Struthio camelus: one gene and its partners. The protein of the gene in region 2 purifies or fractionates together with the protein of the main gene of each other region. This does not show direct contact. Links are inferred from orthologs where the notes say so. Each region holds a gene or a part of one and is shown on either strand. Other genes may lie near its edges. The genes, in order: APBA2, CLSTN1 and KLC1.

Region 1 (8,130 bases), on a different chromosome or scaffold from region 2:
TCTAGACTTGGAACAAATAGCCAAAAGAACCAGACAGCTGAAGAAGCAATGCTAAGATGCACTGAGAGGAGTTTCCTTTTGTAGGCCTAACTTCTATAGATTTCAGTGGGAACAGGATCAGACCCTATTCTTTAGCTACAATTCTAGCCCTTAACCTTAAACAAGAGAGCCTTCACAGAAGCAATTCTCAGAAATTTATTATTTCAACTTTTTGAGGGGTTGGAGGTGGAGTTTAGACATAGCGGCGTGACTCACTCTCACCACCACGAGCATGCAAGGGGAATATAATCAAGAAAACTAGTGGAAATTCAAGGGTGCAGACAGGTGCAACAGACAACTGTGATTTGTTTCTATCAGTGAAGGGGCACTTGATGATATGCCCCTGTTGCACCAGTATACAACTTCTGGACGGAACAACTGTGACTCAAATAACTGGAGCCTGATTACCTTGGAAAGGAGTAAGGCTTTCAATATGCCTATCTGTTTTTGTTTGTGTTTTTTCCTTCAAAAAAGGTGCAATGTAACCTTATTTTCTGATAACGTTCTCCTTCACATTTTGTTTGATGTGGGCCTTTGGCAAGTTTCCAGTCTGAGCACAGTTTTCATTTAGACTTTGCAGTTCATCTTTGAAAAGGAAAGTCGAGCCAAAATATTCAGCATGCTTTGAAAAGGAAAGTGGAGCCAAAATGTATAGCATGCATTTGTTGTACTTTTGTAGCAAACGAAAGATGGTGCTAAGTAATGTCAGGCTTTCCAGAACACGAAGTATTAACATTTTGTCAGTAAATTTTGTCACGGTTGGGTCAAAGTTAGTTTCCTGTTCTAATCTCTCCATGTGTCCTTTTTCCCTCTGAGTTCAAACACGTTCCCATTTTATGCTGCTTGAGGCAGACGAGATACATTTTTCTATACTGCACCAGCATTACTCAGCCAGCTAAAGGGTTCATAATTAAATGATGCAAAATATCTTTTTCTGAATTCCTCTATGCTGCTCTCAAGTCTTCTAGCTGGGTGGAGGAGAATGGCTACAGGACGCATTTCATTCTGTATGATGAGACAAGCTTGGAAGCATGCTCAAAAGCTGAGAAAAGAACTAACAGGTGGAGAAGTCAGACTCCAGCACTGATAGGGAAAGCATTAGCTGAAATATTGGCCTGAAAGATCATTTTTTGCATCCACAGACCTGTTAATATTTATGTGATACAATAAACAACCCTTAGTTCGATTGGTTATTTTGTGTATCCATAAGCACTTCCTTTTGTATCTAGGTGTGAATGTCGGGAGCATTATTAGAACTGTGAAGCTCCTGAAGCAATAAGCCTAGGTAGATCATAGTGTAGGGTGTGGGTCACAAGATGGCTGAGCCAAATTAACCAGTCACTGACTGCAAAGGGAAGAGGTCCTACACTCCTTGCCCATTTCCATCTACGTGTCCCTGCTGCTCACACTGAGCTGGCTTGTCCGATCACACAGGGAAGTGATTCAGTTCACCAAAATGACAGAAAGTTAACGCAGAGTAAGTTGTTATTTAGAACTGTCACTTTCTTCTGAGGTGCACCTAAGTTGGGAATGACACTAAAGCGTGTTCTTGTATACATGCCTTTTAAAATCCAACCTTACGTTTTCGCAAGTCTGCCAAAACACTGGATCTCCCATGCTTATACTGCAATTAATTAATCTGAATTTAAGAAATCTCAAGATTTGATTCGGAGTTTAATTGCTTTCATTATTACCATATTTACCCAATGCATCATAAGCGTTAGAAGAACGTACTCTATCGTGACATGTAGCCAAGCTACAGTGATTAATACAGTTGTAAGCTTGACAATTTGGAAAGCTGTGAATGATTTACTGGAGGAACTGCTTCTGCCGACCACCTTTTGGAAAGATAATACCTCAGTATTTAATGCCGAGACTAGAGTTTACTTTCTTAATGCAAATGCAGAAGCACCGCTGTCTAGTGTTAAATATGTTCCTTGGATTGGGACTTTATTGCTAAAAAAAAGATTAACGGAAAGTGGTGTGATCAAGAAACTCTCACAGAAAGACCAGGGAACATGGGGATGTTCACAATATCTAATTTATGTACTTACAGTAAGCGCTTTGAATCATTCCCTTGGAGCTTCAGTTGATTCTCTCTGCCTAAGAACCTCTTCCTGTAGTGAGTTTGCTGTACTCGAGCACCTTTAATTAAGAGAAAAAGTTAGATTTACTTGCCTCAGAAAACACTCAATTATTTTACCAATGCAGTTGTCCTGCTGGACAAATTATTGAAGACTCTAAAATAGAAGAAATCCCTGAAATGGTAGCCATAGTATTTCTCATAAAGCTGCTGAGTGGCACTAGACACAGAAAGGTAACTAAGAATTTAAACCTGAAGCACAGATTCATGTGGGATGCAAGACTGTTAATATGTAAATAGGAACTAACAGCAATGTATAAATGCTAACACTACATTTTAAAATGGAAGTCCTCACCATTTTAGGACTGCAAAATCCTTTAACCTTTGATGGGTTAATCCCACTTCTGCCTCTGTGGAGGTCTTGTATGGAAAAGATTATTTCCAAAAATTGAAGATTAGTAGAAAAGAGCATTATTAGATTTAATATTAACGCACCTTATTTTTGCCTTCCATTTTGCTACGTCATTTCCTATAATAACCATCTGGCTTAGTCACCAAACGAGGTGGAGGAAGCATGCTTGTTGGGAACTTAAATAAGAAGCCCCTATAAGTCCACTTACTTTGGAACCACTGTGGTCTTTGAGAGGTCAGCCGCAGCAGCTTCAGGAAACAAACACTTACCTTCCCGATCAAGCTGGGAATACTGCTCTTGGTGTATTGATCGAGAAAGTGAAAACTTCCTTATGTACCTGAGGCTATTTCATTAAGTTAATAGTTTTGAGAATTTATAATATGAATCTCGCAAACGTTTAAACACAAACAATGAAACACAATCTTTCAAATGTTCATACAACCCAGCTATAGATGATTTATAACTCCCTGCATTAGCGTGCAGCATACCTACAGTTTATGCAGTATCTGAGTTTTCATCATCTTCAAAAAAGAACCCAAATCAGTCAAGTAATTAGGATAGAGATAGACGAGAAAGGTAATCGTAGAAAGCTGTAACAGAAAACAGCAACCTTAAAATGGCTACTGGGTAGCAGGCATTTCTATTACGTAATAGAAATCTTTACAACAAAACGAAAACCAAGAATAAAGACGCCCCAGGCTGGTGTTTCTACCAACGGCCTTTGCACGTACACGGAATTTGAGGCGGCGCTAAGCAAGGGGCACAGCTAGCCCAGGGCAAACCGAAGCGCACCAGGTTGGATGCGCAGTGATTACAATGAACATTGAGATCTAGCTGATGGGAATGCAATATAATTAAATTAAAATGACTTTTCACTCTTGCTGTCATAAGAACAACATGATTACTTTTTACGCTCAACCATAAGAATAGCTAGAAGTCTGAAATTCGCATGCTTATGAGCAAATCCTGCCATAATTTGGTTTAAGAGTACTTGATCTCACACATGCTCCTTTACATACAAAGCAATCACCCTTGCAGGAGGTTCAACAGAAAGATCTAGTAGCATCGAATACAAGGCCTGAGGAACCAACTATGTTTATCATTCACCCTAAGAGCAACTCTCGCACTTCAGTGAGCTTTTAAATATTATATAGAGAGCATCTTCCACTTTCAACCTCTACGTGGGGCAAACACTGTGGTTAGCACTTGTTAAGTCCGATGCCGTGGCAGCACGTGCCCGTTGCGGAAGCCGCGCTGCGCCCAGCCGCAACGCCAACCCCTTCTTGCTTGGAGGGCTGCGGGGGCAGCTCCAGCGAGGCCAACGCCGGGCACCGCCACCTGCCCTGCAGCCGGCCCTCCCCGGGCCCGGCCGACGTCGGCTCGGGGCTGCCACACCAGCCTCTCCACATCCACCCCCAGAGCACACCCACCACCTCAAAGCACCCCCACCGCTCCCTCGCCCCCGCGCCATTTTGTGCGAGGCTCGAAGGCCGGTGGGGGCACGGCCAGGGGCGCGTCCCGCAGCCGCCATTTTGCCCGCACCTCTCCCACCGCCGCGAGCGGGCCGGGCGGGACCCCCGCCTCAGGCTGGCGGCCGGCGGGGAGAGCGGGCTGAGCCGCGAGGGCGCGGGCGCCCCCGCCGGGGCCGAGGCCGGGGCCGAGGCCGGGGCCGGAACCGAAGCGAGGCGAGGCGAGGCGAGGCGGGAGCCGGCGGCCGCCCCGCGCCCCGGAGGGCGGCTATGCGCCATGCAGGTTCCCGGGCGGGCGCCGCGATTGTGGCACGCAGCTTCCCGGGCGCGGCCGCCGTCGCGGTGTGTGGCGCCGAGGCAGGCACACAAAAGAGCGGCTGCCGCTGCCCGCCGCTCCGCCGGCTGCGGCACCGGCCCCGCCGCTGCCAGCAGGGTAAGGAGCGGCGGCCGGGCGGTGTCATCCCCGCGGGGGAGGGAGGCAGGGAGCGGGCGGGCGGGCGGACGGACGGACGGACACCCCGCGGGGCTCCGCAGGGCGGCGGGCGCTGTGGGGGCGCCGCCGCCCCCTCCCCTCCCCCTCCCGCGGCCGTTGCGCCCCTCACACGCGGGCGCGGGGCGAGGGCAGCCAGGGGCCGCGGGCGCGGAGCTGCTGTTCTGCCTCGCCGTCGTGGGGAGGAAGCGGGGGGCGGCGGTGCCGCTGTCCGTGCCCGGTGCCGGCGCCGCGTCAGGGGGCCGGAGGCTGAGGGGTTAACGCGCCTTCCCAGAGCCCAGGGAGCTGCGTGAGGAGCCCTCCCGCAGCGCAGCACCGCCAAGAGTTTGTGTCTGCCCCTGATTTACCGTGCCGCCAGGGCGGCAAACGGAGCGGAGCTTCTGATCCCCCCCCCCCCCCCCACTTCATAATGAGATCTGGAGGGAAAAAGCTACTCGATTAAAAATTCGGCACTTCGTTTTCCTTCAGATGAACGGCACAAAACATTAGAACATGGTTTGGTTTCCCCTTTTGGAGACTGGTGCCCCTTTCATTTATGTATTTGTTTATTTATTTTGCATTGCCGTAACAAAAGGGGTCGGGGAGCCTGGGGAGCTGGATGCTGGAGGGGCGAGGACTGCCTGGTGGCGGTCGTCGTGCCTCGGCCCGCGGACTGCGCTTTCGCACGCCTGCGGTCCGGTCCACTTCCTCGGCGCCCTTCTGATGCGTGTCGCATGGCAGCGAGGGCGTGAAAGGAAAGAAATTTCAATAAAGATGCAAGAGATTATGCAGCGTACATAGTACGGCAATAAGATGTGGTGCACTGATTTTTAAGAAAAGTCTTAAATTGCTATAGTCTTTTGGGGTTAAAAAAATACAAATAGTGTTTCAGTTATATTACCTTGTCAAAACCACCATATAATCTCACAGGGGTGGGAAATCTGTTTGCAGACAAGGTTTTTCATGTATTATTATACCTGCTACCCAAGAATTCCTCCTTATTTAACCAGCAGAACTGTATATGTAAAGAACAGAAGAAACTGCTATTTTAGCTTTGTGTGGCTGTGTATAGGCAATACTATTTCCACATAAGGTGACTTTTAAGAGGGAGGAATTCTAGTGTAATTGTTTATTGCCATTTTAGGAAGTAAAAATTCAGTATGTGCTGATTATTTGTATGTTGAACTGATTTAAAGCGTAACACTGAAATTTATATAGTCCAGGTTCCCCTCAGTAAGGGGCAGACAGGGAGGAAAGAGCTTTTCCTTCCATACGTGGTGCTACGGGTACCAAACCACTGCGGGGGAAGTCGCTGTCCTCTGCTGTACGCTGCTTTGGGCTCCTCGGCTCTCAGGCTGAGGACCTGTTCTTGTAAACCTTGATTCTGTCAGGCTTCCTAAACCTAAATTCTCTAGTGGTTTAGCCCTTCTCTGCTCTTGGAAGTCTCTAGAGCTATTTTTAAAAATCCAGTGTTGCCTGTCATCAGTAGCCACGTTATTGCTTCCCTTTGATCCTCTGATCTTAAAGAATAAGGCTCTATAAAAGGCCATGGCTGCCCAGCTCTTTTGGTCAAAGTCTTATGAGTCTAAGGAAGAATCCTGAAGAATCCTCAGGCTAGGGACTGAGTAGATGGAGAGCAGCACTGCTGAGGAGGCCCTGGGGTCCTGGTGGACAGCAAACTGCACGTGAGCAAGTCCAAGTAGGCCAACAGCATCCTACGTTGTATGAAGCTAGTAGACTGAGGGAAGTGATTATCCCTCCTTACTCAACACTTATAGACTGTGCCTGTAAAACTGTGTCCCGTTTTGGCCCCCTCAGTTCAAGAAAGATTGATAAACTGGAGTGAGATCAGTCGAGGGCCACCAAGCTGGCCAGGGCTGGAGCACAGGCCCGATGAGGAGAGGCCGAGGGTGCAGGGCTTGCTCAGCCCGGAGAAGGGGAGGCTTTGGGGGACCCAACAACAGCTCCCCGGTATCTACAGGATCATCAGGAAGGCAGAGCCAGGCTACTCACAGTAGTGCATAGCAGGAAAATGAGAAACAGCAGGCATATGTCCATTCTGAAGCTCTCTTGCTTCAACATAAGGAGAAACTTTTCCCCTGCAACAGTCAAGCAAGAGAATGGGTTGTCCAGAAAGCTTATGCAGCCTCTTTCATTGGAGGTTTTTAAGACCAGACTGGATAAAACCCTGAGCAACCTGGTCAGTTGACCCTGATTTGAGCAGGAGGTTGGATAGAGACCTCTGGAGGTCCCTTCCAACCTGAATTATCTTATGAGCCTATGAACAGTTGCAAGTTTGTGCTCATCCTTAAGTGATCTAAGAAGCAGGCATGTTTCCAGAAGTCAGAGTTTTTTAGAAAGGAGTAGAACTTCCATCCTAAAACTATTGCATTTCAGCAAAGACAGAATGTAGATGTTAGTATGCTATACCAGCCAACTGCTATTACCTGTGTGGGTAAACTAATATATTACTCCTGATTGTAGGAAGAGCTATTTGGTTAGCATATTTGTATTTTAATGCAGATATAAACAAAAGCAAGAACCTACTTCTTGCAAGCAAGGACCTTTCTTAAGTAATGTCTTTCAGAGCTCCTGTGAGGCAAATAAAGCATTGCAACATTAATACAAGAAGCATATTAGTAGTTCTTATAGCTGGGGAAAATAAAGCACTGATACAGTCACATGCACATCACAGGGTAAGAGGAAGAGCTTGAAGCAGAATCAGAAATCACTAATTCTTAGACATTCCACCAAACATGTGATTGCTGAGTTGAGCATTCATTATGAATACCTTAGGTATTTGCAAATGCTTTTATTCTACTGAGGAAGAATTAAAATATGGTGATCTGACTTGTGTGGTGTGGTTTTTGTGGTTTTGTTTTGTGTGGTGGTGGTGGTGTTTTTTTTTTTTTCTTTCCGTTCCTGAGGACCCATTTACCCTGGAGAGCTGGTTGAAGCGTTCAGTGCTTTAGACTTGTCCTGCGTGTGGGAGCAGAATGTACAGCACTCAAACTTTTTGTCATGGCATCTGTGAGGACATTTTTTCCAAGTCTCACTTTTATCTAAAACTTAAGTCTCATCTTGGCTAATAGTATTGTTTTCCAGAAAAAAGAGTCTTCTACAACTGGTAAAAGCAGTTAAGGAATAAGCTATTTCCTTCTAGTGCCAGTGGGTAAATGCACTGTATCATCTGAGTGCACCATATTTCTTTTTGGCTGCAGTACTTATTGCCTTCATTCACCTACTGCAGCAGAGGAGGGTAACTCACACTTCAAGAGGACTAAGTTAGAGCTGAGCAGGGGTGCTATGGAAAACTGTAGGGTTGATAGATATTTCCACCTAGGAGAAGGAGGAAAAACCAGAAGCCCTATAGGGAGAACAAGGAAAAAGTATTATCATTCTTAGATAATAAGGTTGAGTGAGATACCGCTAAAGGTGCATACTCTGAAGTATACTCATGCATGAAGGGATCGTTTTCTTTTGAACTAGAGGTAGATGAAGAGGAAAGGACAAGTTGGCAAAAAGGGATACAGGAAGTCTTCAAAAGGATAAGTGTTTCAAGCATAACCGGTGTGAGGTTTGGGGTCTAGATAAGGATGTTCAAATAGCAGCGCTTCTGCAGTGCTGACATCCACTGATCCCCACCTGGACTCCCGCT
Region 2 (8,582 bases):
GAAACGTTTCCATCTTTAACAATAATGATAATGCCACAAGACAGATGCCCCTCAATATCGTCAATGAAATTTCATCGTGATTTCACTGAACACAAGTAAATAGAAGAAATAACTGCACACATGCGAGATAAGGCTCACAAAGATCATAGAAAGTGCTTTTGTTCAGAAAGTCAACGACTATGCACCGTTCCCCCCCCAACCCCGGCAGAATAGTTTCATAGCTATAAACCAGTAAACTATCAGATATTTAGATTTCCATAGCAGAAAGTGCTGCTTTACCCAGAATACTCAGAATTCCCACTTAAACCTCTTGAGATAAGATGCTCTCATTAGGCTGTCCTGTGACTTGTTCGGGGTTTAACTTCAAGCCTTCCAATTTTCATGGGAAATCTGCCTAGCTTCTCTTTCCATTCTTCTTAAAAATTCCTTCCAAAGATCTGAAACTGATGAGTCAAATCTGCAAAAACATAAAGCCCTCAGAGCAAAGATATATTTAGGAGTCTAGGAAAAAAAAAGTTTCTATAGATACATTTCCCTGATTACTTGGCAAAGACAGCACAACTTGCGGTCTAACAATACGGGAGAAGACACCTGGCACGATGATGTTGCAAACACACGAAGTAAACTATGCTTGCTCAGAATATCACCTCTCCTCCATTTCAATTTCCATAGCACTGTGTCTTTTCACCTACAAATGGATAGGAAAATAGACTAATGTTGTTCACTAGTTATTTGATCTGAACAGATGACTCAATACTATGCTCTCCTAAGCATTATGCATTATAGAAAGGTCTGGCAAGGAAAATGACATTTAAAGCTTTCCGCTCAGTTACTTGTGTCTCTTCTCTTTTCAGCGGTCTCTTACCCTCAAAAATCCTTAGGAAAAAAAAAAAAATAGAACAGGACAAAATTGTAATGCTTTAGAATAATCTTATACTTCCTTCCCTCTAAATAAGAAATAGAAACCTAACTACCGGGCCCATACTACAAAGGCTCTCACCGTCTCAAATAAACATCTGCAATAAAACAGTGGTAGTGAGAAAGTGGTTTGTGGTTTGGATTTGAGACGTTCATACCACCAGAGAACTTCCTGAAATTATCACAGATCAGCAAAGCTTCCTCAAGATACTACTGCTTTGATCTGTATTCTACCTAAATGACAATAAGGCAGAAATGGTCCAGGGCAAAAAAAAGTGTCATGCTCTAGCTAGTCAGTAACCATGGAAGAATCAGCCATTATATAAACTGCCCTTCCATCTGAAAAGTCACTCCATTGGACCTCTCATTCAGCTCTGCTGATAAACACCCAATTACTTCACTCTGACAAACCCTCTTTCAGTACCCTGCTAACTACTGCTTTTCCACTGTGACGTGTCAAACACGATTAGAAACGTTTTGTTCAACCTGACCAAATACATGACAAGTATAATTAAACTAAGATTTTTGCATCAGTTCAACTGGAAAGGAATATACTTCTTCAGAACCTCAAACCACTCTTTGCCCCCCTCAAAATAACTACAGAGAAGATACGAGGGGTACGAGACAGTGGTAAATCAGCTAGATCTCACCTAATATTTCTGTAAGATCACACCCTCCAAAAGTTATTTCCATTGCTTTCCTTCACCACAAAAGAAACCACTTTGCACTCCCCTGTTCTAACCGTGCAAATACTCCGGACTGGAGAGAGCAACTGACCCTTCTGGTCTAGTCTTTCTAGGCCATTTCTGCACACTACTGAACAAAGCACAATGAAGTTTTCGCTACTTAAAACGCATCTTAGTGACCTTAGTAACAAGGATTTTTAAAGCCATAGATGAAAAATAAATAATAAAAAAAAGCTTTACCTGAAAGAAACGGAATAGACAATACAACACAAAACAGAAAATTTACCATAAAGACTTCCAAATAACAGAAAGACTTCTCTCGTAACAACAGGCAAATGAAAGCGAGTAGCTCTAGCAGCTTTCCTTAGTCAAGGTGATCTCCATCATCTACTTGGATATAAAATGCATCTTCATGTAACGTTACAAACAGGCCTACCCCACAGTAGCCAAAACATCCTGAGGACTAAGTTAACTGCACGTGCCAAGCCAAGCCAAACCTCACACTGTAACTCAGTTACATGTAATGAAGTTTAACAGAACAGGACTTCCAGCCGGCAGCTCTGTATATTAGTCTGAAAACAAGTACAGCTTCTAACAAATTGCAGACGAAAGAGCTGATCAACAGACCTGTCTGGTATAATGCTATGTAAACTTGCCATTCGCTTCCAGGGACATATCAGCTTTCTTCAAGAAAAAATCTTTTTTGATCTCTGTTCTATTCATAATTTCAAATAAAAGAAAAGCCTGTCAATTCAATGAGCTTCTGTTTCTGTACTGCTCTGGTAAGCATTAAATTACAAATTTTGGTTCCAAGAACACTAATGAAAAAATTGTACTTAAAAAGATCTTGTATGGGTAAATTATGGACAGCATCTAACAGTTTAGCAGACTTCTTGATTATAGCAGCAGTTTCATAATCCTACGAAAGGAAAATGCAGCAAAATACGTCTTTAACACAATGAAATGTTTTTTTTTTTTCCTAAGAGCAAGAATTTTGCTGTATTTGCAAGCCATTTTAAAGTGACAGTTCTAATCTACCTTCAGATTAGACACAAGATCACAAATCCCGTCGTGCGACCAACTAAACCTCGCAGAAAAGGCATTCCCAATTCGAGGGGTAACCTTCAGGTAAGGAAGCGGGGACAAGCCTCTCCTGAAACCTGCTCAGGAGGAGACCTGCAATGCGTATGCTTTTACTCAGCCAGATCAATCAATAGCCACAAGGCCGGTATTTAAAGACACTGGATCGCTTCAGGTTTAGCGCTGCTAGGCGCTATCGTTAGCCACCCAACGAGTATTCCTTATGTAAGCCTGAAGGTCAGGCTCCCCCACGGGCCCTGCGAGGTGCTTTACCCCCCCCCCCCCAATTCGGCTGGCCATCAAAGCTCCCTGCCCAGCCACAACCCCGTCACGGGTGTCAGCAGCGCACCCAGATCGCCCGCAGAAGGCGGCTTTGCGGCGGGCCGACAGTCTAGGACAGGGCGGGCTGCGCGTCCGCCCCCCCCCCGCAACAAGTGCGGGCGGCTGCCCGCGGCCGCGGCGCCAGGCTCCCGCGGGGGCCGTTATGTAACGCGCCTCCGCCGCCGCCGCGGGGCCGCCGGGCCTCGGCGCGGGGAAGCGGCGCAGGTGAGCGCCGGGGGGGGGGGGGGGGGGCAGCGGCCGCCATCGCCGCAGGTGCAACGGCCGCGGCGGGGCGCCCCCCCCCAAAAGGACGCGGCTCCCCCCCCCACCCCGCGCGTACCTCGAGCAGCCCCGGCCCCCGCGCAGAGCAGCGCGGCGAGCAGCAGGCGGGCGGCGGGGGCCGGCGGCGAGCGCGGCATCGCCGGGCGACGCGGCGGCGGCATGGCAGCGCGGTGCAGGGCAGCGCCGAGCCCCGGCTGGCGGGGCGGCTGCGGCGCCCCCGCTGGTCCGGGCTCCGCTCTGCGCCGCGCGCGGGGCTCGGGTCGGCGCGGCGCGGCTCGGCTCCGAGCAGGAGGCGGAGGCGGAGGGAGGGGAAGCGCCGCGCCGCGCCGCGCCGCTCCGCTCGCCGTTTCTCTCCGCCTCCCGCCCGCCCCGCGGCGCCAGCGGCACCTAAGATGGCGGCGGCGCGCGGCGCCCCCCCCCCCCGCGCTGCTACCGTTACTAGGCGGAGGAGGGAAGGAACCAAGGGGCGGGGGGCGGCGCCCTGCGGGGGAGCCGAGCGGCTCGGCGCGGTGGGCGAAACCACTGCGCGGGGGGGGGGAAGGGGGGTGCCGCCCGCCCCGCAGGGGATTAAACCCATTAAATCCGGGCCGAGATTTGCTTCGCCGCCGCCGGCCCAACCGGCCGGGAAGGGGGGGGGGGGTCCTGCTGCCGCCCCTGCGCAGGGGGCTGCTGCGGGGACGCCCCTGAAGGCGCCTGCAGCCCTAGATCCCCGTTAAAACCTCCATAAAACCCTTGTAAAGGGTCTTTTGCGGGGGGACTCTCTTGGAGCAGGATAAGGGCCCTTTGGGGAACTCCTGCGCCTGCCTGCGAGCGCCCTTTCTCCCTCTGCTCCTCCCGGAGGCAGGAAAGCTAGTTGCTCCTCGGTCAAAGATGGCAAGGGCTTCAGGAGAGCTCGGACAACTCCAACGCAACCCACTTTCATAATTCGAGACGCAGAGCAATCTGTTCCGCTCCCCAAAGAGTTTTTTCCGCCCGGAAAACCCATGGCCTTTACTTGCTACCTCTTAAAAGCTTTGCTACGGGGCGTGCAGAGCAGGAACAGGAGCCGGAGAGAAACGCATCACGCTCCAACACATGGCGCAGCGGTGCGCCAGTTACTATCCTGTGCCAGGTAGCGGTCCCTGAACCGAGCCACCAGCTGCCTCCGTATTTATTTATTTCACGGCCTGGGCGCTGCAGGCCACCTGCTTTAATACAGCTAAGACATCTTCCTTTTTTTTTTTTTTTTTAAAGGTAAAGCCTCAAGTCTAAAACCCTTTGATTTCTCAGCCTGTCTAACATATGCTGGATGGCAGATCATGTCAGAAGAAGCCTCTAGCCCATCTGTTGCCAGAGAGCCGAGCCTTTGCGTTCTGCCAACGCAGCTTCAGCTGACAGCACGCTACATTACGTATTTTGCTTTTGTCTGGAGAGCAGAAGAGCTGTCCAGCTCGCTAGGACTCTCAGACTAGTCTTACTGACTTCATGCACGAGTAAGAACCGTTGAGCAAGAACCACCCCGTGAGTGAAGACTTGCAAGGCAAAAGATCATCAGTTAAAGGATGGTTGTCCATTGATCAATGCATGATAAAACACAAACCTATTTGCCCAAATACTGCATTTGGATAGGCAATATAACTATGTACTAGGCTTGGAGGTCAATGCAAAAGTACCTGAAAAGGGCTCGCTAGTCAGTGGCCAGCAGGCACATATACACACACACATTAAAGTACTTTCTGCAAAGTAATGTATTTTGTACATTTAAATTGGAGAACCACCTCGGCTTATTAAGTAAGGCAGGAAAACAGTGTTCAAAGAGCAGAATTTGCTCTGCAGTCTACTTGAGCTATATCATGCGCCATAGCGGGGGAAAGAAGACTGCCATGACCACAGAAAGTAGGGGACTTCAGTGTTACCAGGAGGACTCATCTAAATGATTTTGATTCTGCAGAACTAGGAAGGGGAGACATTTTAAATAAATTAAACGTTCTTTCCAGGTAAACCTTATTTATTGCACAATGACACTATCAGCTCAGATTAATGAATCAGCTGAATTGGTCATGATGGAACTGGGAGATTTCCAAGGAAGGAGAAGGCTTTGATTGCTGTTACCTCTCTGAGCAACATTCCTCTGAGTCAGTTGTGACTAAGGCACTGAATCAATAAAGCCAGTAATTCTTTAGCATATATTTTGAGTTCAGTTAGATGATTTCGTTCAGTTAGATGAGTAAGCGGACTGAACTAGCAGGCCAGTGGCTGAGGACACAGAGAGTATAGGCGCTCCACCTGTGGAGGAGACATCAGACTCTGAAATTCTGATCCTATGTCACCACTGATGTTCCACTGGCACTTACTGTGAAAGTATGTGAAATACAACATCCTCTCCAAATCCTTAATAATAATAAAAAAAATTAAATTACCCAGTTTGAAGCCTTCTATGCACTAGTCTTATTTGCTGTTAAACAACAGCTATACTGTTTGCCAGAGGTAACTGCATTTCACAAGTTGACAGATTGGCACTTTCTCTGAAATGCCACATGCCATTATTTCAGAGCAATTCATAGAAAACTAACTTCAGCACCTTCATTTCTGCCACCTATCGTCCTCCTACTCTCCGACCTGCTTCTCAAGCTCAAACAAAAAAAAAAATCATCGATTTTGATTTTATTAGTAAGCAACAAAGCTGGAACAAATGGCTCCTGGCAGAACATGTTTTCTGTTACAGCTGAAAAACTAGCGGACTGATGTCCTTGAAATGAACAGCATGACTAATGCCCAGCTTGCAAGGACCCAGGAGGACACGTATTTATTGCACTTGTCAGAGTGGAGCTGAGCAGCCAGAAATGAAAAGATAAGCTGATAGGTAAAAATGAATGCCTTTGTCTGCTTGCTTCTTAAAGGAAGCTGGCGCATTTCATGCACAGAGAGAGCAGCGAGACTGGCCCAGTTAGTCAACAACAGATCTGGATCTGATCATTAGCGCTCAGACTCATAATTAGCATATACTCAGAATGTGCACTGTTATTTCTAGATATGAGATTTGGACATATGTTTAAAAGGCCCCAGCTCTGGGGCAAGGGTCCAGTCTCTAAATAGAGAGTCTAGAATTGGGTTTGCGAAAGGGTCCCATCTTTAAACAAACAGACTAGAACTGGCTTGGATTTCAACTAATGCTTGCCTACTATTTTGATTACAGACTATGACTGCTTTTAATGGGAAGTTAGAATGTAGAACCCAGTTTTATCTCCCCTGCCAGGTATTTGCTTCATCACAGCTGACCTGAGACCACTTCTGAAACAGGACAAATTGCCACTGAGACACCATGGTGTAAAGTAATTAAGCTCTGTGATAAGAGCTGCATGCATAGCCAAGCGAAACAGTAGACGAGGGCAACCACAAGCCGGTTCCTGAGAAGCTGTATTACAGCTCCACTCTAGCTCCCTCCTTCGCACTAGAGAAAGCCATAGGAAAATCCAAAAGTATTTTGCTAATTTGAAGTCTAGAGTTTTGCGGTTCCGATATGAGTTATCTGAGTCAAGCAGGAAGAATGAACCAGGATAATATTAAGGAAAAGGTAATTCAAGGTGAATATCAAAAATTAATTCTTCACAATGAGATCTATGAAACCACAGATTAGCCTCAGAAGGGAACAGGCAGAAATGGCATCTTCTAGGTCATTCAAAAGAAGTTTCCACAACAGAACGCTAGAACTATGCCCCTACCAGCTTGATGAGAAAATATAAACAGATAACCAACTAGGTCTTTTATAGCCTTGCTGTCCATAATATACAGCTCCTATCCTCTGGACACAAAGCAGCATAAAATTCATGCGTCTTTAGATCCACTGGATGACTTTTTTCTTTTTCTTTTTCTTTTTTTATTTTTTTTGCAATGTATGTAACCTGACTGTATATGTTGGATGGAAAGAATCAGAGGACTGGTTTCCCCCACACTTGAACATTTCCAGAACTGCTTTGATCATGTGTGAGAATTCATTTAGGGGATGCAAATGAAGGCCTTGGCAAGACGAAGAAGAAAATCTTCTCCCCTGACATTTCTCAACGTTCATAGAATTCTCAACAAGCCATTGAAGCATGAGTTCATCAGAGAGAGAAAAAAATTAAATAAGCAAAAAAGTACATAAAAACTAGTTTCCTCACAAGAAAACTAGCAGCATTAGCAATCTTCCTACCTTGTTTGTTTATTTTTCCTGCTTAGACTTACCTGCTATTGCAAAATACACATCTGGAAACATGAAAGCAATGAAGATGTAAGTATCTTTCCTTATAGAGACTGAATATTCTGCAACATAATTATAATATTTTACAACTCATTAGCACCTTCCATCCTAGGATCTCCAAGCATTTTACAAGCGTTAATTAATGCACTCTCACAATACTTCTGTGAAGTAGAAAGGCAGGTGTCTAGATGGGATGACAGGTGCATTACAATTGAATAAGACAGCATTTCCAGTCTTTTCATTTGCATATTTAGGAAAGCAGGGCACAGGGAGGATAGGTAAAATGAAGAAATATCCATAATACCTTGAAATACCTTAAGGCACATACAGACAGAGACAGACTAGCTTTTAAGTGCTTCACTAAAAAGCAGGACTCAGCTTGGGGACCTCAAGAAAATTTAGGCTTTCTGAACTTAGGTCTTTGCATCTGTTACCACAATGACTATTTTAAGCTGCATTATGTAAATAAGAGAGGAGTATGAAGGGAACTGGACCTGTTTCTTAAAGATTCATCTCCTTACTTCCAGGGGTAGTGGGCTCTGCTGAAGCTCTGATATCTTCTGGGAGGACGTCCACTGTACAGCAGCCTTTGAACAGCAATAAAGAAATTAGTTGTAAAGCTTATTAAAACACCACTAAAGACAAAGATGGAGAGAGTACAGCAAGTGAAGACAGATAACAGAAATAAATTATTCTACTAATCATCCCCTAACTCAATAAAATAAGAGCTGAAGTCAGGTGCTCTAGATGAGGCTTTACATAATGCGTGTCCACAGGAATCCCTGCTTTCTGGCTTGTTTCTTCATGTGCTGTGCTAACCTATTCCGAATAGCAGCACAGTGGCCCACACCCACATTAACTGCTTTCTTAATTTAAAGTTTCTTAATTTGTGTAGAAAACTGAGCTAGTGATTAACGCGGAGGGAGAGTGAAGAATCCTGGGTCTTCTTTCCAGCCCTATCACAGATTGTTTTGGGTCAGTCACTGATCCCTACCTTATTTCCTTATCGGAAAACATAATACATGCCCGAAAGAATGGCTAGATAAACCAAGATAAACTAAAGACTCAAATATTTG
Region 3 (8,102 bases), on a different chromosome or scaffold from region 2:
AATACTTAAAGCTGTGTGTGACTCAGGATATGACTACTACTAGGTTCTAGGCTGAAGACAAAAAAGTTTGTTCTGAAAATTAAAAATCTGTCTTTGACTGGTACTCAGTACCATAAAGCCATCTTTTGGACATTTTATGCTCAAGACTCTTTTATTAAGTAAAATGAGAGATAACACACTATAAAGAAACAGCTTTCTAAAATCTGATCAAGATAAGTACAACGCTCTCATCAAACAATGAAAAATAATTCTTCAGGTTGTACTAAGCTACTGATAAGCCTGTGACTAGCTGCTTCTATTGCAGCGACAATGGAATCGGTCACATCCCATTTTTTGAGATGCGTCATACTGAACATTACCTTGAGGCAGACAGACTATAAAGCGTCTATTTAAATTGGCTTAGCACGCTTGTGCTCATCACTGTCTGCTACCATGACTCTTTAAAATAAAGAATATATTATGCTTATTTGCCTGAACTTGCTTGCTTTCCACTCCTCTTAAAGAAATACTATTTTTGTAATTATTTGTACAGCGAATTAAGTTTTAAAACAATCATAAACTATGCATCTGCAGATATGCTGTTAACCCTACAATAAACTCAGTTGCATTTGTCTGCCACAGAAGCCAAGCAGAGGAAGAGATGGAAGAGTAACTGCACAAGTCCACAAGTCTCAAGAGAAACAGAAGCTGCATTAAATGGACTCAGAACTCAATATGGAGATACAGTACTTCCCTACACTCCCAGCGAAATAACAGACATAAATATGTGTGTATATGTATACAGATACACGTACAAAGACATATAGAGAGAGAGAGAGGTGTAGGGCATAAAAATAGCACACAAGTGAGGGTTTTCCGGTATCATCAAAGAAAGTTCCTCATAAGCAGGGCAAGCAGCAACTGCTCTTATATCACATACAGCATTCTTGAGCGTTATTCTCGATTCTTTTATGTCAGAAAGCATTCAGTAGATCCTATTCTGGACTCCTGCAAACTCCATTTGCAGTTTAGTGTGCAATTCCTCTTTTGCCAAAAAAGACTTACTTTTTTTTTTTTTAAATCATTTTCCATTATTAGGCCACTTTTACCATCTCACAGTAACGTGATGAACAGTAAATGAGACAATTTCAAGACAGTTTTAGGGAGGTAGACATAACTCTTTCATTCTCTTTTTTAATTACATACGATGGCACTTTTATGATAAAATGAATGGAATTTAAACCCAACTGCTGTTCAAATTTCTCATTAATGGATTTGTTTAGCCCAATCATCATCCTTTGGAAGGAGAAAGGTTGCCAAACTTTAACTGCAACATGATGCAGAAGTGATACTGCATTCTTGTGTGACTCTGAGAACTGACAATATCTATTCTCTGCATTTCCTCACATGGTTCTGCATAATACAAAAAGCATATCCAAAGAGAACAGCTAGAGATTTCCACATTTTTAATGATTTCATAGAAATGCGTTATTAAACCATGTGCTCACCGAAAAAAAAAAAAAATTGTTTAATTGGCTTACAAAATACAAGGCCTTTTGCTTAGAATCACCAAATGGATCAGTTTTCTCACTGCTGCCAGTAAATGCTGAATGTGTTACTTTCAATTATAGCTATAATCCGAGGGTTATATTATCCTCTACTATGTTTCAGTGAAGCTTTGGAATTCATAATCAATTAAAATAAAGCTATTTTCCAAAAGAAATCAAAATTCAATGCTGAATTTAAAAAGATCTGTTCAGTTAAAATGCTTAACCATCTAAATCTTGAAGGTTCCTTTTTAGCTTTCCAATGCACACCCTCTGAGCATAAGTTTCCTATTTAAGTGCAGTGCAAATACAAAAGGGGAAGAGAAAGAGACAATTACTTCCTAGGGTAATTGTTACTGTGCCTTCGGCCAACAGCAAGAACTCCGAAATTATATTTTAAAATAAGTTCTCATTTAATACAATTTTATGTTTAACTGTGATATAAAATAATATCAGGAGCGACATTTGCTCACATTTTTGCTGTTCAAAGTAAGCCATGAAAACAACCTTTCACTTTTTGCTAGTTGGCCTTACTTTCTGATTCTGTATTCTGGTTCCATATTCAGTATTTGACTACCATTGTTACATTTAAGTAATAAACACTGTAGGAAATGATTAACAAGAAAAAAAAAAAAAAAGCATCATAATTGACTTAGCCTTCAAAAAGCCAGTTAGCAGCATTAATTTAGGTGATGCTGCTTTGATCATTAAAACATACTCCAATACCCTTAGAACAAAGCATTCATTAAAGAATCAAGAAGTCCTTTCTTGTGACTGTACACAACTGCTGTGCAGATTTACAGATCAGACGTTTTGTTATCTAACAATATTAAAAACAAAAAGCCAAAAAGAGAAAGATTTTTAGAAGTCTTTCTAATTAACGTCTAGGCAAACGATAGACATCAATAAAGTCAGTAATGTATTAATGTTATTTCGCTAAAATTAAGCATTCATAATCTACGTTTTCCTTCATTATTTTGGAACTGTAGATATCTCCTGGGTCAAGATCAAAGTCTGAGAATCGTCTGAGACCGTAGCATGGGTTGGTGCCCTATAACGTTATAAATCTGGTCACTGCGAAACCCAAGCTGTCTTCCCGAACTCCTCTTTCACCATTTCAGAATTAGCAACGACTAGCTTACTAGGCACAATAAAGTAAAACCGGCGCGCGGCCGCTGGCCCGCCAGCCGGGAAGCCGGGCGAAGCGGCGCCCCCTCCCGCCGCCCCGCCCTGCCCGCGGTCCCCTCCCTGGGCGGCGCCCGGCCCGGGCTGCAGCGCGGACCGACGCCAGCAAGGGGACAAAGCGAAGCCGATCACATCCCTGCCGTGGGGGTGGGGGCGCCTCCTCCTCCCCCCCAGCGCTGCGCTCCCCACGGGTGATTACAACTAACAGAGCTTTAGATAAAACACGGGGAAACATCCTCCCCTTCGCCTCCCCCCCACCCACCTACCCAAAAAACCCAACCCACCGCACACGAAACGGGCCGGCTGTCAGCCGGAGCTGCAGGCGACCAGCCGGCCAGCCCAACCTTTTGTTGTTTCTGCCTAACGGCAGACAGGAAGGCGCAGATAAAAAGCCCCGAAGCCCCCGGCTGCCCCCCGCCCCGCCGCTCGCTGTCAGAGGCTGGCGCGCCCCTCACTCACCGCTCGGTGCTGCAGGCTCGGGCGATGTGCGCAGCGCTCGCAGAGGCGGCGGGGGCCGCGCAGCCCGCGGGGGCGGAGAAGAGGCGGCCGGAGGAGGATGTCAGCGATGGGCGGGCGGAAGGGAGGAAGGAAAAGGGTGTTTTTTTTTTTTTTTTGGGGGGGGGGGCGGGAGAAAAGAGAGAGAACGAGAGAGAGAAGCGAAGGAAGCGGGTCGGCACCGCGGCCGCTCCGAAGGCCTGAGAGGCACTGACAGGCCCGGCCCGGCCCGACCCGACGGCCGCGGAGGTCGGCGCGGGGCCCTGCCTCCGAGGCGCGGGCGCTGACAGCTGCAGGCAGCCCCCGCCGCCGCCGCCCCCGCCGCCCCTCTGCCCGCCCCGCCGCCTCCGCAGCCCGTCGCCCCGCCCCGCGCAACATGGCGGCGCCCCCACTCCTTCTCCCACAGTCCCCCGCGCGCCCTTCTTTCTAGAACCTCCCCCCGACACGGTCTATGATGTCATCCGCCCCCCCGCCCCCCCCCCCGCGCGCGGCGGGTAACGGCCGCCCGCGAGGCGAGTGCGAGTCCAACGGCCGCCCCGGCCCCGGCCGCCTTGGGCAGCCGCGCCCGGCGCCCCTCCCTGCCCGGCGCCGCGCAGGGAAGATGCTGAGCCAAGGCCTTCAAGGGCTCAGGTGCGAGGCCGTGTCGGGGCAGACGGGCCTAGGCCGTGCCCCCTCGCCGGACGGGGGGGAAGGGCGCGTGTGCGTGAAAGGTGCTGCTGTCACGAGCAAAACCCGACGTTTGCTAAGCGCACGCTCAGGTGACCCAGCCTTGGTGTTGTCCCTAGGTAGGGTGCGGGTATTTCCCATGTTTATGGTTTTGTATGCCCTGGAAAGACGTTCTGGAATTTTGTTTTGCTATAAGGCTGACAATAGGACATAAAAAGCCCGTGGTCCCTTCTCAAGCACCTCTGGAACAAAGGCGCATTAAAGGAGCTGCAGCACGCAGGCAGCTTGCAGTCGATGTACAGGTCACACAAAGGACAGCCGAGGCTGAAGTACAAATGCTATGGAGGCTGGGTCCCCTCCCAGGATTCACGGGCTGCTAATACGTTTCCACACCCTTGTCTTAGGTGCGCATTGAACATAATAAAAGATCCCTATTGTTCTATAGGTTTATTCATAAAAGGAAAAACAAGAGTTTCATCATAACTTTTAGTGACACCAAGAACTGCATTTCCTTGCAGTGTCTCATTTCACTCCCATTCTCTCAAAAGAGGAGAGACTGGTCACAAGATTTTCTCCATATTGCTTTATATTCTGTTCAGTAGAAGTCCATCCCAGAAATGAAGGAAGATGGAAGGAGCCGGGGTTTGGGATTAAAGATATGACACAACAGTAAAATGTACATTAGGAATCATCAGGGAACAGTGACAGCCCAACTTTATGAAAGAGTTATTAGAGTCTAGACAGACTATTATGGGGCGTATTGCCTGCCTGAGCACCATACATGTAACTCCTACAGGAGATACAGGTATGAATCATTAACTTATGGAACCATGCGGAGGTATAGTGCTAAATCAAAATGTGTCATCTAAGTGGTATACCTTACAATATAAAAGGAAAGCTCTGCTTACGTGTTATTTGCCTTCACATGTAACACTGAACACATCTAGAAGATGGCAGATGTGAGAACAAGAATGAGGTGAGAAAGCAAGACTAAGAAGAAGCAGGAAGACGGAAAAGGAATCAAAGCTAATGCTGTCGTCAAAGAAGTAGAACAGGAAAAGACAGTTCACAGAAGCCTATGAGGAACAACATAAAGTTTGGGGGGAAGTGGATTGTCTACAGACTGCAAGGACAGAGAATTACTGTTGGATCTGAAAAGCTGAGGGAACTGAAGTATACTTCCAGAATACTGCTGATTCACATCTTACAGAGATCGAGCTTTCTAGCAAAAACAGTTGTGATACATGTACTTCAGAGCAGCAGCTTTTTGTGTTTCTCATCTCCATTTAAAATAACATTCCTCTGATAATTTTGTGTGGTTTATCATCACAGGGCAGCTTGGACAGGAAAGTCAGGGGATAGGCCAGCCTAACTATGTATAATACTGTGAAATAGGTGTTTGGACAGTAATGTGAAAAGGGGAAAAAAAAGGAATTGAAAGGCATTCCTTTATACAAACTACATTTTAAAAATAAGAATCATGCCTGTGGGTCCACAAGTTCAGCGTTTTCATGAATATGCAAGAGATTTAATTAAAAATAGAACGTCCTAATTACATAATTATGCAAGAGAACTGATTCAAAGGAACCACGCCTATCTTTTAAATAAACAATATTCATTACTTTCTTCCTATCACACATATACTTTACAAGATTTTCTGTAATTAGTTGCTTACCCCAGGGATCTCTGAGCATCTCTGAACAAAGCAACTACTCCAGCGATGACCCTGATTCATAATATGCAGGCTAATGAAGTATGCTTGCAATTTCTTGCATAAGTAGCACACGCTATAAGCTCCCCGGTGCAGGAAGGTTGATCAGTTCAATGGAACTAAAGCGTGGTATTACTCCCCTCTGTTTATGGCACGCAGTAGAAGAGCAGAGGCAAAAGAGACTTCGTCAGCCTGCTTCTTCCTCAAGCTTCTGCCTGACTGCAAGTACCATAAGAGTTTCTCTTCAGTTGGATCTTGTTTTTCCTGTCCAATCTACGTAAGAATTATCTAAGTTCTTCCAGCAGTAAAACTGTAATATTGCCCCACATTTGCATCTTCTCTTAAGGAGTTAGTTATCCTATTTGCCCTGCTTTTAGGATGAAGTGATCTAGACTTGCTGTCTCTAGAATAGTCTTTATCTGCCACAAAGTCACTGTGGTTTTCTGCAGACATCTCAGTGGATATTAAAACCCCAAAACATGTTATTTACACTGCCAGATTCTTTTTCCCTCAATATACCCATTTCTCTCCTCTCCCAAAAGAAGGTTTGTAATTCACAGTGGGAGGAAAAAAGCAAGCAGTAAAGCTAATACAACACAAAACTCTTACGTTTTGAGGTAACGTAACAATGTGAGAAATACACACAGCAAACTCCCAAGTTCAGTTTGACTGACATCCAGTCAGAGGAAGCTTCTACAAAGAAATTCATGTTCACTTCATTTAGGAAGCATGCGATGTTTTATTTTACCATTGTCATTCAAAAAAATAATTTTAGATTTAGAGCATCTTCCCTCCTAGAAGAAGGAGACAAAAGTTTTTTTTTTTTTAAATCTAATCCTACCGTCTATAAAATCCATGATTTCATTTTATAAATATGGGCTGCCATAAAGCACTAAATTGGAATAAATTCAACCACTGCTAAAATGCTATGTAAAAGCATCCTGGCAACAATAAATACCGAAAGGCCAGATTCAGGAACCTGTCTGGTTTTTCATCATGATCACTTGACAGTTGCATAAGCTAATTTATATTCTTTACAAAGAATTCATATTTCATAAAAGAATTTCCCATACGGAAAACAGCAAACAAAAATCACTGTTTAAGAGTCAAAAGCGTCAAGTACGTGGTTCCACACAGTTTTAGTCTAACTCCTTTGTGCTTATGTGCAATTAATGCACGCAGAACTACCTTGTTATTATGGAGCTCGAGCACTTTGGAGTAAAAGGACTGTATTTTGACATGATTCATTATTATACTCCAGGTGCCTGAACTTACCATAGGGAACCCACTGTTGGACATAGCATTAAAGTACTAAGTAAAATAAACACTGCTCACGATCCTACTCCCCAAGACAATATGCTTCATTTACATGCAAGTTAATTTTCCTTAGCCACAAGGATGTCTAAAAAGCTGCAAGAAATGAAAGGTAGTGTGCTTCTCCCTGCCCTTTTCTACCCTCTCTTCTATTTCCCCTGCCCTATTGTTAAATAACAAGAAGATCATGCAATGTAATTAAAGTTCACAAGGTCATTTCATTAGTTAATTTCTGTTACTCTTTTAAGCAGAGCAGGATGCTTGCTGTGGACATTAACATTTTGCTACCCCAAATTCCCTTCATTTCATAGCTATTACATAGCAGCATTATTAAAGTTCAAAGGACACTGGAATGTTTTGGAAAGCCTTTCAGTTAGCTCTAAAACATTTCTATCATAAAAAACAGACTAAAAATCCTCAACTAATTCAGTTAAAGTAACCAGATGAATGCTAGAAACTGTTAGACAACTTGCATGTCAATATTACTGTATGAACATAAAGAAAAATAGTAGACAATTTCAGCAACACAGCTACGTTTCTATATCCTCGTTTCCTCTATGATGTGCAAAGTATTAAATGATCAAGGATTTCCTGAGAATTGTGCCGTTGGACAACCCATAATATTCTGTGCTATATGAATTTACAGACACTGTCAGTATTTCCCAAGATACTTCAAACGGTAGAACGTCTAACAGTTTAGTTATCGTCAGAAGCTCTCCTCTACAAACCCCTTGACTTGTATCTTCACTCCCTGCATCCAAGGAGTAGGTTCCCACCTCTGAGGGACCGCTCACACCTGTTCATACTTATTTCACCCCACTAGCAATTTCTGTTCTTTTTTTGCTTCTGCCATACCTTTCATTTCATTCAAAGATGAAGAAACTTTCTTCCTTGTCTGCTTCCATGGTCTGTAGTCAGTACCACTTTTACTATATTAACCACCAACACCTTCCTATCTTGGAAAGGATCTCTTCTCCACATTCATTCTGTATGACTTTTAGTGCTTATACATCCGGAAACATACCACTGTGTACTCTCCTCCGTTCCTTCTCTGTACTCTCCCTTTTCCACTTACTCCGTCACTGAACCATTGCAGACACTGTATTAAAGCCTTTAGATGAAATCAACGTTAACACCCTATTGGTGCAATACCGTGTTAATCTTAGCCACTACTAGAGTAAGAACATTCAGTGTATGATACAGTA

The links.
Region 1: the proteins of CLSTN1 (region 2) and APBA2 purify together in Homo sapiens (affinity purification with western blotting; 3 studies listed by BioGRID and IntAct, with this or other methods). This does not show direct contact. The link is inferred for Struthio camelus from reciprocal best matches to the Homo sapiens genes CLSTN1 and APBA2.
Region 3: the proteins of CLSTN1 (region 2) and KLC1 purify together in Homo sapiens (co-immunoprecipitation; 3 studies listed by BioGRID and IntAct, with this or other methods). This does not show direct contact. The link is inferred for Struthio camelus from reciprocal best matches to the Homo sapiens genes CLSTN1 and KLC1.

Annotation. Positions count from the first base shown.
Region 1 is NC_090953.1:18,938,668-18,946,797, reverse strand, and holds the start of APBA2 (amyloid-beta A4 precursor protein-binding family A member 2), read left to right. Parts: upstream 1-4,335; 5' UTR 4,336-4,436; intron 4,437-8,130. UniProt on the Homo sapiens protein: Putative function in synaptic vesicle exocytosis by binding to STXBP1, an essential component of the synaptic vesicle exocytotic machinery. May modulate processing of the amyloid-beta precursor protein (APP) and hence formation of APP-beta.
Region 2 is NC_090962.1:5,752,450-5,761,031, forward strand, and holds the start of CLSTN1 (calsyntenin-1), read right to left. Parts: upstream 3,458-8,582; 5' UTR 3,449-3,457; coding exon 3,346-3,448; intron 1-3,345. UniProt on the Homo sapiens protein: Postsynaptic adhesion molecule that binds to presynaptic neurexins to mediate both excitatory and inhibitory synapse formation.
Region 3 is NC_090946.1:72,487,984-72,496,085, reverse strand, and holds the start of KLC1 (kinesin light chain 1), read right to left. Parts: upstream 3,527-8,102; 5' UTR 3,171-3,526; intron 1-3,170. UniProt on the Homo sapiens protein: Kinesin is a microtubule-associated force-producing protein that may play a role in organelle transport. The light chain may function in coupling of cargo to the heavy chain or in the modulation of its ATPase activity.